Oryctolagus cuniculus: one gene and its partner. The protein of the gene in region 2 interacts with the protein of the main gene of each other region in a pairwise test. Links are inferred from orthologs where the notes say so. Each region holds a gene or a part of one and is shown on either strand. Other genes may lie near its edges.

Region 1 (4,488 bases), on a different chromosome or scaffold from region 2:
CACAAACAAGTGTTCATTCTAGATGGTCAGCACATCTCCTTGGGGACTGGCTGCCCTCCACACGGGGGTGGGGCCTTTGGAGACTCAGTGCCGGGCTGGCAGGCAGTCAGCAAAGCCCCATGCTTCTCCCACAGAGGTTCACGTTTGTGGATGGGCCCCTCAGCCTACCTCCTTAAGTCCCCCAATTCCTTACCCCCTTCTTGCTTCTCTTCCAGAAAACCCAGTGAGGGCACCCGCCACCACCACGCGGACGCCTCCATCATCTCTGGCCCGAGCTACTGCAGTGGCCCCGCAAAATATTACCGCACCATCTGCTCCTACTCCCTCGTTTCCCGCCACTGAGTGGCTTTTCTAAAAGACACAAATCACAGGGCATTCATCTTCGAACTCTAGGGCAATGGTTCTCACAGTTTTTGGTCTCAGGACCTCTTAGAAATCATCAAGGACCTCAGAGAGCTGTGTGCATGACGAGTAGCGCTATTTACCGTATTTAAAGCTATTTACCGTATTTAAATGACACGCACACGTCCCATTTGCTGTGAGGGGGACGGTGTGGCTTCACATCAGGTGGCTTTCTGGGCAGCGCCACCGCACACTCCCTGAAAATGATGCTGGACACGATGTTGGCGCGATCCGCTCTTGATTCTACATACCCCCCCCCCCCCAGAACTAGACTCGGGGGCCTCGGGGACAGAGACCACACTTGAAGAACCAGGGCTCTAGGGCCAGATCCATTCTTCTGGCTCCTGCCAACGTGTCCCCTCGCGCGGGAGCCCCCAGCCTCCTCCCGGCGCCCCTTCCACAGGACGGTTCTCCTTTCCCCCGGTGAGCTCAACGCCGCCCGCCGGGCCCGGGCTCGGGCCCCAGCGCTCTGCCCCCTCTGCTGGTCACCCCTCACGCTCCCTGCGCTCCAGGCCGGGTCAGCCTCCTCGTCCTCCCGGGCTGGGGGCTTCTCCAGGGCAGGCAGCGGCCCGGCGACGCCCACCAGAGGGCGCTCCTCTAAAAGCTGCTGATGCTGGAGGACGGGAGCGGCGACCGCGCGGCTTAGGGACTCTGAGGGGCGGGGGTCGGGTCTAATCGTGTGGCAATAAAGTTGTCTTCCGGTACTTCCAACTGGATCTCATTCTGCCCCAATGAACCTTCCAGTCACATCGGGCCCCGATCTCCCAAAGGGGCCCAGAGCATCCACCACCCAGGCGAAACAGTTTGAGTGCTCGCCACAGGTCGCCAAGGAGCCGACTCCCCGCGGGAGCGAGACGACGCCGCGCGCCAGCGGAGGTCCGGGCCCCGAGCACCGGAAACCCCGGAGCCCCGAACCTGGGACCGGAAGTGGCGGCTTCCTGTCCCGCCTCCTCACAAGAGGGCGGGAACTGGGGGCTCTTCGGAAAACCCGGAGTGGATTTCGGTCCGCTGCCAGGCTTGGTTGCAATGGGGAGTGTGGCCCGGGGGTAGGAGCCCGGGGTCTTTCCCCGCCTAGAATGCTTGCCGCGGGAGATTTAGCCTCGCTCTTGTGGAGAAGGCATTGTTTAATTCTGCATCTGTCCTCCCCGGGGTCTAGAGACTGGAATCTTTAGTCCCACTCAGTGCGCGGCGACGTGGGCTCCGGAATCCCCGAGTGGGGGCGGGGAGGACACTGGCGCCGGGGACCCGCGCTCCCGGGTCCCGGACCCTGGGCCGTCCAGCGCTGCCCTGGTCCGCGGCCCTGGCTCCTGTTCTCACTTCCTTCCCCTTTTGGCTCCTGCTCTCGGAGCGGGCGGACGCGGGGGGGAGCGGAAAGGGCGGGAGGGCCAGAGAGCGGACGGAGGGGTGCAAGGGGGGTGGTGCGGCGAAGCCGAGGAGGGGACTCGGTCGGGGGCCAGAGGACGACCGGAACAGCGGCCTGGGACCCACGCTGCCCCCACCCCTCCCGAGCAGGTCAGAGCCAGAGCACCCTGTGACCCTGCCCGCTCCCCGTCCTTGTGAGCCTCTCCTCTGCAGAGCGCACCCAGGGCCCCCAGTGTCCAACCCCCGCGTCGCCCGCCTGCCCCGGCCTCCTGCAGGACTCTCATCTGGGCGCCTGGACGCTCGCGCCCGCCTGACCCCGCCACCCGCACCCCTCCCCCGTCTCTCTCCAGGCGCCCCCATGGCCCGACCCCGCTGACTCCTGCACTCGGCCATGCTCCCGCGGCCCCTGCGGCTGCTTTTGGACACGAGCCCCCCCGGGGGAGTCGTGCTGAGCAGCTTCCGGAGCCGAGACCCCGAAGCGGGTGGGGACCCAGGTGGCCGGGTCGTGGGCGGGGGGCAGGCGCAAGAGGAGGAGGAGGAAGAAGAAGAGGTGAGACGCGGGCGGCGGGAGGCAGGGGCGTGAACGTGGCCGAGACTGTCCGCCTTTCTCCCGCTGCCTCTGGGCCCTGCCTCTCCCCTCCCTCCCAGCTCCAGGGACTTCCGCGCCTCGGCCTGGGTGTGTGCCAGCCGCCCTGCCGCAGGGAGTGCTGGCGTCTGTGGTTTGTGTCAGTGCGGCTCGGGAGCTGTCCGCAGGAACATGCCCTGGTCCTGCCCGGCCGTCCCGGCTGGTCCCCGGCCTTCCCTGCCTACACCTGAGAGTGCCCGCCTCTCTGGGCGCTGGGGTCGCGCTCCCCGTCGCCCTCCTGGGTTTTGTTTGGCGGGGAGGGGTTTGTTGCCACAGTAACCAGCTTCTCTGACTCTGGGATTGGGGAGGGAACCCTCTGGTTTCTTGACCCCTCCCCTTCCCAGCGTCCCTCCCCCTCCCGCTGCCTGGTGCTTAGGCCGAGGCTGGACACACGGGGTGGTCATCTGCTTTTCCTGGGGACGAATGATGGTGGCCAGGAGCAGGGTTTGGGGCCTCAAGAGAGGCCGGAAGTTGGTTTTGGGGCCCTCGGGCCCTGGACTCCCGGGTCCAGACCTGAGTGAAGGCAGGGAGACTGGCAGGGCTGGTTTTTCGAGATTGGCAGGGGGGAGGGGCTGGGGCCACGTGACTCTTGAATCCACCCCCCCCATCATCCCCACTTCCCCTTCTCCTTCCTGTATTGGGATTGGAGCAGCTACCTTTGGGGTCCCCAGGACTGAGATAGTGGAGGCCCCCTAGCCGGGGAACCAGGGTAGAAGAGGGCGGGGGAGAAGGAGGGTCCTTGGTTGGGAGGGCGGGGCATGAGGCCGCTCTGCCGGTGACTGGGCTTTCAGCTTCTCTGTGCCTCTGGTGCTCTGCCTCTCCTGCCCTTTGCGCCCTGCTCCTCTGCTGTGTTGGGGTTCAGCTCTGGGGGGAAGGGGCTTTGGGGGTCTCCAGGATCAGAGTTTCTGCACTCCATCCGCTCCCCAACTGCAATCCCCTCGACTCCATCGGGCCCTGAGGCGGCTAGGGGGGGGCTGTCTGGGCCCCAGTGGGAGAGACCTGGGGTCGCCAGCCCCCCCGGCCCCCCGCACCCGCTGGTACTGGTCCCTGCCGCCACAGGTGAGGGGTGCAGAGGGAGGCGGAGGGCCCGGGCGAGGGCTGGGCAGTGGGCGGTGGTGTGTGGAACTCTATGACTTCCCCTTCCTCGCCGCTGCAGGCCCCCGTGTCTGTGTGGGAAGAGGAGGAGGATGGCGCCACGTTTACCGTCACAAGCCGCCAGTACCGGCCTCTTGACCCCTCGGTGAGATGGTGGCTCTGACTCCGCTCTGGCTGACTTTCTGGCCCGAGTGCTAGGTTGGACATCTGCTGTCCTGATGGTCTTTGGCCCCTCTCTGGGTCTCAGCAACATGAACTGGCTTAACGTCTAGATCTGGGACTGTCCCCGAGACCCAGGGGCAGAACTGAGGGCGGAAGTCAGTGATGGGTCTTCTGCATCCTGCAGGCTCCCCTGCCTCCCCCGCGTTCTTCCCGACGGCTCCGAGCTGGCACCCTGGTGGCCTTGGTCAGACACCTGCTGGACCCTCAGACGTCAGGGGCTGATGTGACCTTCGTGTCCGCCCTCCTGGCCACCCACCGGGCCTTCACCTCCACGCCTGCCCTGCTAGGGCTCGTGGCTGACAGGTGAGGGACCTAAGGGACCAAGGATCATGGCGGTGTCGGGATTTCCTGAAGCCCCCAGCATCCCACAGCGGGGCGAGGCGGGGCGAGGCGGGCAGGGGGATGTGGTTGGAGAGATGTCCTTCCCTCTGCAGACTGGAAGCACTTGAGTCTCATCCTGCTGATGAACTAGAGCGGACAACAGGGTGAGTGACCCCGGATTCTTAGCCTCGCCGTCCCCTCCGCACCAGCTGCAGCCTGACCTCTGACCCTTGGCTGATTCCCCTTCTCCCAGGGTAGCCATCTCTGTCCTGTCCACCTGGCTGGCCTCTCACCCTGAGGATTTTGGCTCTGAGGTCAAGGGTCAGCTTGACCGCCTTGAGAGCTTCTTGCTCCGGACAGGGTATGCAGCAGGGGAGGGTGTTGGGGGGGGCACCGCTGACCTCATCCGAAACCTCCGGTCTCGGGTGGACCCCCAGGCCCCCGACCTTCCTAAGCCCCTG
Region 2 (4,459 bases):
CACTGGCCTCTCCTGAGCCCCCGGGCCCCTGGAGGAATTTCTAGCGTGTTCCTGGCCCCCCTGCTGCTGTCTGGGACCCCCGGCTGTATCCTCCACACAGGCCCTGGCCGCACTCCATCCCTGCTAGGCTTCCCAGGGTCACCTTCCCCAGAGACAGATGTGGGTGGGCGGAAACCACTGCCCAGGGGAGGCGCACACTGCCCACGGCCGGGTTCATCCCCTCCACCCACCGATGCGGCGGGCCTCCTGGACAGGGGGTGCAGTCAGCTGGACTTAGAGGCTTTGGGGAGAGAGCCTCAGGGGTCCGGTCTGGATAGTGACCCACATGCTGAGGACCCAGGAACGCGCAGGTCCCCTGGGGAGCCCCGTGGACTTTCCCTGCTGCCTGCCCTCCTGCAGCTGGTGCCCGGCCCTAGGCCTCCCAGCTAATCCCCACCATGCCCAACTGCCACCTCATCATGGCCAGGGAGACGGGCTGGCCCTGGACGCCCATGGGTGGCCGAGGGTCCTGCCTCAGCCAGGCCCCAAGGGGTTCAAAGTCCAGGGGTTGGAGGCAGCTAGGCCCAAGCCCCCACTCCTGGACACTGCTCCTCTGCCACGCCCCCAAGGCCCGAGGCTGGCGACGGCCCTGGCTCCTCCCTTCACGGCCCAGTACCCAGGGCACACCTGGCTCCCTTCCCATGACCCCACCCTGGAGTGACCCCACCCTGGAGCCAGCCCCAGCAAGTCCCGAGGCGCGGGCGTGGCCTCCGCGGGGACACCTTTTGACCTCTGAGGCTGTCGCTGGGCCCCAGAGGCTCTGCTGAGTCCACCTCGGCCCGGGCTTCCCCTCACCTGCGGGGCGCCGGGGTGCCCAGCCCGGGGCTCGGCCCTGGGTGCCCGCGGCCGCGGCGCTCTCCGACTCCGCCAGTTCTTCCGGCCGCGGGGCTGCGGCCCGGGAGCCATGGCAACCGGGCGGGGCCTCATCTGCATACCAGAATATTCATGAGGCGCGAGCCTCTCACGCGGCGCGCGGCCACGCCCCCTAGCGACGGCTGCAGGGCGGGGGTACCCGGGACCGTGCTGCACCTGCCGCGGCTCCCGCGCGGGAAGCCCGTCCTGAGACCCCCGCCACGGCCAGAGGGGACGCCCGGCGCAGAGCCGCACGCCCCGTTCCCCGCCTCCCGCTTCCTCCAGGGGAGTGCGGGTCTCTGCCCTTCGTGCGTGCAGCAACTTTTGGGCTCGGTCTGATGGGAACTTCGGGCCGGAAGGCGGACCTCTGGCCTTCCCCAGCGCCGGCCCCGCTGCCGTGCCCGCCCCTCCAGCCCGCCACGCGTTCCCTCGGCACCCGCAGAACTCGGTGCGGGGCCCCGGCTCGGCCGAGGCCTGCCGGGCACCGCCCTGCGAGCCACTCCCGGAAGCCCCGCCCGGTCGCGCTTCCTGACGGACGGGCCGCTCAGCCAACCGCGTGGGGTGTGGCTCGGCCGAGCGCGTCCAATGATAGGCTGCGCCGGGCTGACGGACGGGCGCGGGGGCGGGGCAGGCGCGGCCGCGGTCGAGTGTCCGTCGCCCGCTGCCGGCGCCCGCAGCCTGAGCCGCACCCGGCGCGGACGGAGCCCATGCGCGGGGCGAGCCGCGCGCTTGGACCCCGCGCCCGCCCCCGCCCCCGCCCCGGCCCCGGCCCCGGGGGCAGTCGCGCCCGTGAGCGGTGAGTGCGGGCGGGGCGGGGGCGGGGGCCCGGCGCCCCCTCCCGGCCCTGCTGGCGGCGGCGCGGGGCGGGCGCGCGTGCGGGCCGGGGGCGGCGGCGGGGCGGGGGGCGGCGTCCGCGGCCCCTTCCTGGCGTCCCTGTGGCTGCGGGCCCCCGGGACCAGGCCCCGCCTGCGCCATGGCGCCGGGCGCCGTCTCCTCCCCGCGCTGCCCAGGGCTCGGAGAGGCCCAGCGCCGCGGCCACCGTGGCCCTCAGGGCCGCCAGGGCGCCCCGCCCTGCACGCCGCGACCCGGGGCGCGCCGGCTCGGGGTCCGGGCCTCCCCTGCGCTGCCCCTGCGCTAGGGCTGAGCCCCTGTTTGCCGGAACCCCTGCGCGTTTCTCCGAGGACTTTGGGGCCGGTGGACACCCCGGGGAGCCGACATCCTGGGGACCCCAGAGGGCGGGGATTGCGCCCCAGGCCCCCTGTCCCTCGGGCCGCGGCGGCACCTGCATGCGGTGCGCGCTCGGTAATGCTGTTCGGACGCACCCCCGGGCCCGGCGGCTGGCTGACGCTGGCCTGCCTGGGCAGGCTGTGGCCCGGCCGGCCGCGGCAGGACCTGTTCTGGGAGGCTAACCTCAGCCCTCAGGCCCTGCGGGTTGTGCGTTCTGCCTACACAGCAGCTTCTAATTTGGGTGCGTGGTTGGGAGAAGCTCTCAGCTGTCAGCCCTGCCTTTGGGGGTAGGCGCCCTGCCTTGCTCACGCTGTCGCTGGTGCGGCGGGGTGGGGAGGCGGCACCCCTCCCGCCCCCTGGATGGCGGCTGGCCCAGGTGGGCAGCTGGGCCGCCGTCCTGGCCGTCGGAGCTGCGGGCCTGGCTGAGCGTGGCCCTCCTTGGCAGGCGGGGCAGGAGACCCCACAGCGCCGGGCAGCCCGCGAGCAGCGCGCGATGACGGAGTATAAGCTGGTGGTGGTGGGCGCCGGCGGTGTAGGCAAGAGCGCACTGACCATCCAGCTGATCCAGAACCACTTCGTGGACGAATATGACCCCACCATCGAGGTGAGCCCGGCGACCCCTCCCCTGGGCGGCCAGCGCCGGTAGCCTGCCGCCACGCGGTCCCTGAGACGCCGCCTCCCGCAGGACTCGTACCGGAAGCAGGTGGTCATCGACGGGGAGACGTGCCTGCTGGACATCCTGGACACGGCGGGCCAGGAGGAGTACAGCGCCATGCGGGACCAGTACATGCGCACGGGCGAGGGCTTCCTCTGCGTGTTCGCCATCAACAACACCAAGTCCTTCGAGGACATCCACCAGTACAGGTGAGCGCCGCGGGGCGCGCACGGGGGCGCTGGCCAGGCCGGCAGTGCGCGCCCCGGCTCACGCCTGCCGCTCCCAGGGAGCAGATCAAGCGGGTGAAAGACTCGGACGACGTGCCCATGGTGCTGGTGGGGAACAAGTGCGACCTGGCGGCGCGCACCGTGGAGTCCCGGCAGGCGCAGGACCTGGCCCGCAGCTACGGCGTCCCCTATATCGAGACCTCGGCCAAGACGCGGCAGGTGAGCCCGGCCCCGCCCCCAGCCGCCCAGGGACGCCCCGGCCCCACCCCGCCCCCGCCAGGGAGCAGTGCTCACAGCCCCTCTCCCTCGACGCAGGGCAGCCGCTCTGGCTCTGGCTCCAGCTCCGGGACCCTCTGGGACCCCCCGGGACCCATGTGACCCAGCGGCCCCTCGCGCTGTAAGTCTCCCCGGACGGCAGGGCAGTGAGGGAGGCGAGGGCCGGGGTCTGGGCTCACGCCCTGCAGTCCTGGGCTGACGCAGCCCCAGGGGAGGGGGGGTCCCTAGAGAGAGCTGCCCTGAGCCAGGCTGGAGCGGTGACCCTGGGCCCCTGCCCCTCTGTCCCCAGTGTCCCACGGGTTCCTGTGGGTTCTGAGCCCTGTAGCTCACCAGCCGGGCGCAGAGTTGGGGTGGGGAGGTGAGCCTGCCCACGGGGGCGGCCCGGGAAGCTGCCGACGAGCAGGGAGGGGCAAGGGTTCAGCCTGAGCCCTCGGCGGGAAACAGCGGGTCCCCCGGTGGCCGCGCCCTGAGCCCGCTCCTCCCTTCCAGGGCGTGGAGGACGCGTTCTACACGCTGGTGCGGGAGATCCGGCAGCATAAGCTGCGGAAGCTGAACCCGCCCGACGAGAGCGGCCGCGGCTGTCTGAGCTGCAAGTGTGTGCTGTCCTGAGCAGGTGAGCCGGGGCCGCCGGCCCGTGGGTTCCCGCCCGGCCCCACGCCCCCGCCCGGCCCCACGCCCTTGCCCGGCCCCACGCCCCCGCCCGGCCCCACGCCCCCGCCCGGCCCCACGCCCCTGCCCGGCCCCACGCCCCCGTGTGCCCCACGCCCCTGCCCGGCCCCACGCCCCCGCCCGGCCCCACGCCCCCGCCCGGCCCCACGCCCCTGCACGGCCCCACGCCCCCGCCCGGCCCCACGCCCCCGCCCGGCCCCATGCCCTTGCCCGGCCCCACACGTGCCCCACGCCCCCGCCCGGCCCCACGCCCTTGCCCGGCCCCACACGTGCCCCACGCCCCCGCCCGGCCCCACGCCCCCGCCCGGCCCCATGCCCTTGCCCGGCCCCACACGTGCCCCACGCCCCCGCCCGGCCCCACGCCCTTGCCCGGCCCCACACGTGCCCCACGCCCCCGCCCGGCCCCACGCCCCCGCCCGGCCCCACGCCCCCGCCCGGCCCCACGCCCCTGCACGGCCCCACGCCCCCGCCCGGCCCCACGCCCCTGCCCGGCCCCACGCCCCCGTGTGCCCCA

Evidence for each region.
Region 1: the proteins of HRAS (region 2) and RGL2 interact in binary tests that used the Homo sapiens proteins (3 or more experiments, as listed by UniProt). The link is inferred for Oryctolagus cuniculus from reciprocal best matches to the Homo sapiens genes HRAS and RGL2.

Annotation. Positions count from the first base shown.
Region 1 is NC_091436.1:135,823,801-135,828,288, forward strand, and holds the start of RGL2 (ral guanine nucleotide dissociation stimulator-like 2), read left to right. Parts: upstream 1-1,642; 5' UTR 1,643-1,914; intron 1,915-2,114; 5' UTR 2,115-2,155; coding exon 2,156-2,314; intron 2,315-3,545; coding exon 3,546-3,629; intron 3,630-3,830; coding exon 3,831-4,009; intron 4,010-4,140; coding exon 4,141-4,191; intron 4,192-4,280; coding exon 4,281-4,488. Other genes in the region: TAPBP (tapasin), read left to right, coding at 216-342. UniProt on the Homo sapiens protein: Probable guanine nucleotide exchange factor. Putative effector of Ras and/or Rap. Associates with the GTP-bound form of Rap 1A and H-Ras in vitro.
Region 2 is NC_091432.1:196,851-201,309, reverse strand, and holds the start of HRAS (GTPase HRas), read left to right. Parts: upstream 1-1,503; 5' UTR 1,504-1,687; intron 1,688-2,563; 5' UTR 2,564-2,611; coding exon 2,612-2,722; intron 2,723-2,803; coding exon 2,804-2,982; intron 2,983-3,059; coding exon 3,060-3,219; intron 3,220-3,315; exon of another isoform or gene 3,316-3,397; intron 3,398-3,765; coding exon 3,766-3,885; 3' UTR 3,886-3,889; intron 3,890-4,459. UniProt on the Homo sapiens protein: Involved in the activation of Ras protein signal transduction. Ras proteins bind GDP/GTP and possess intrinsic GTPase activity.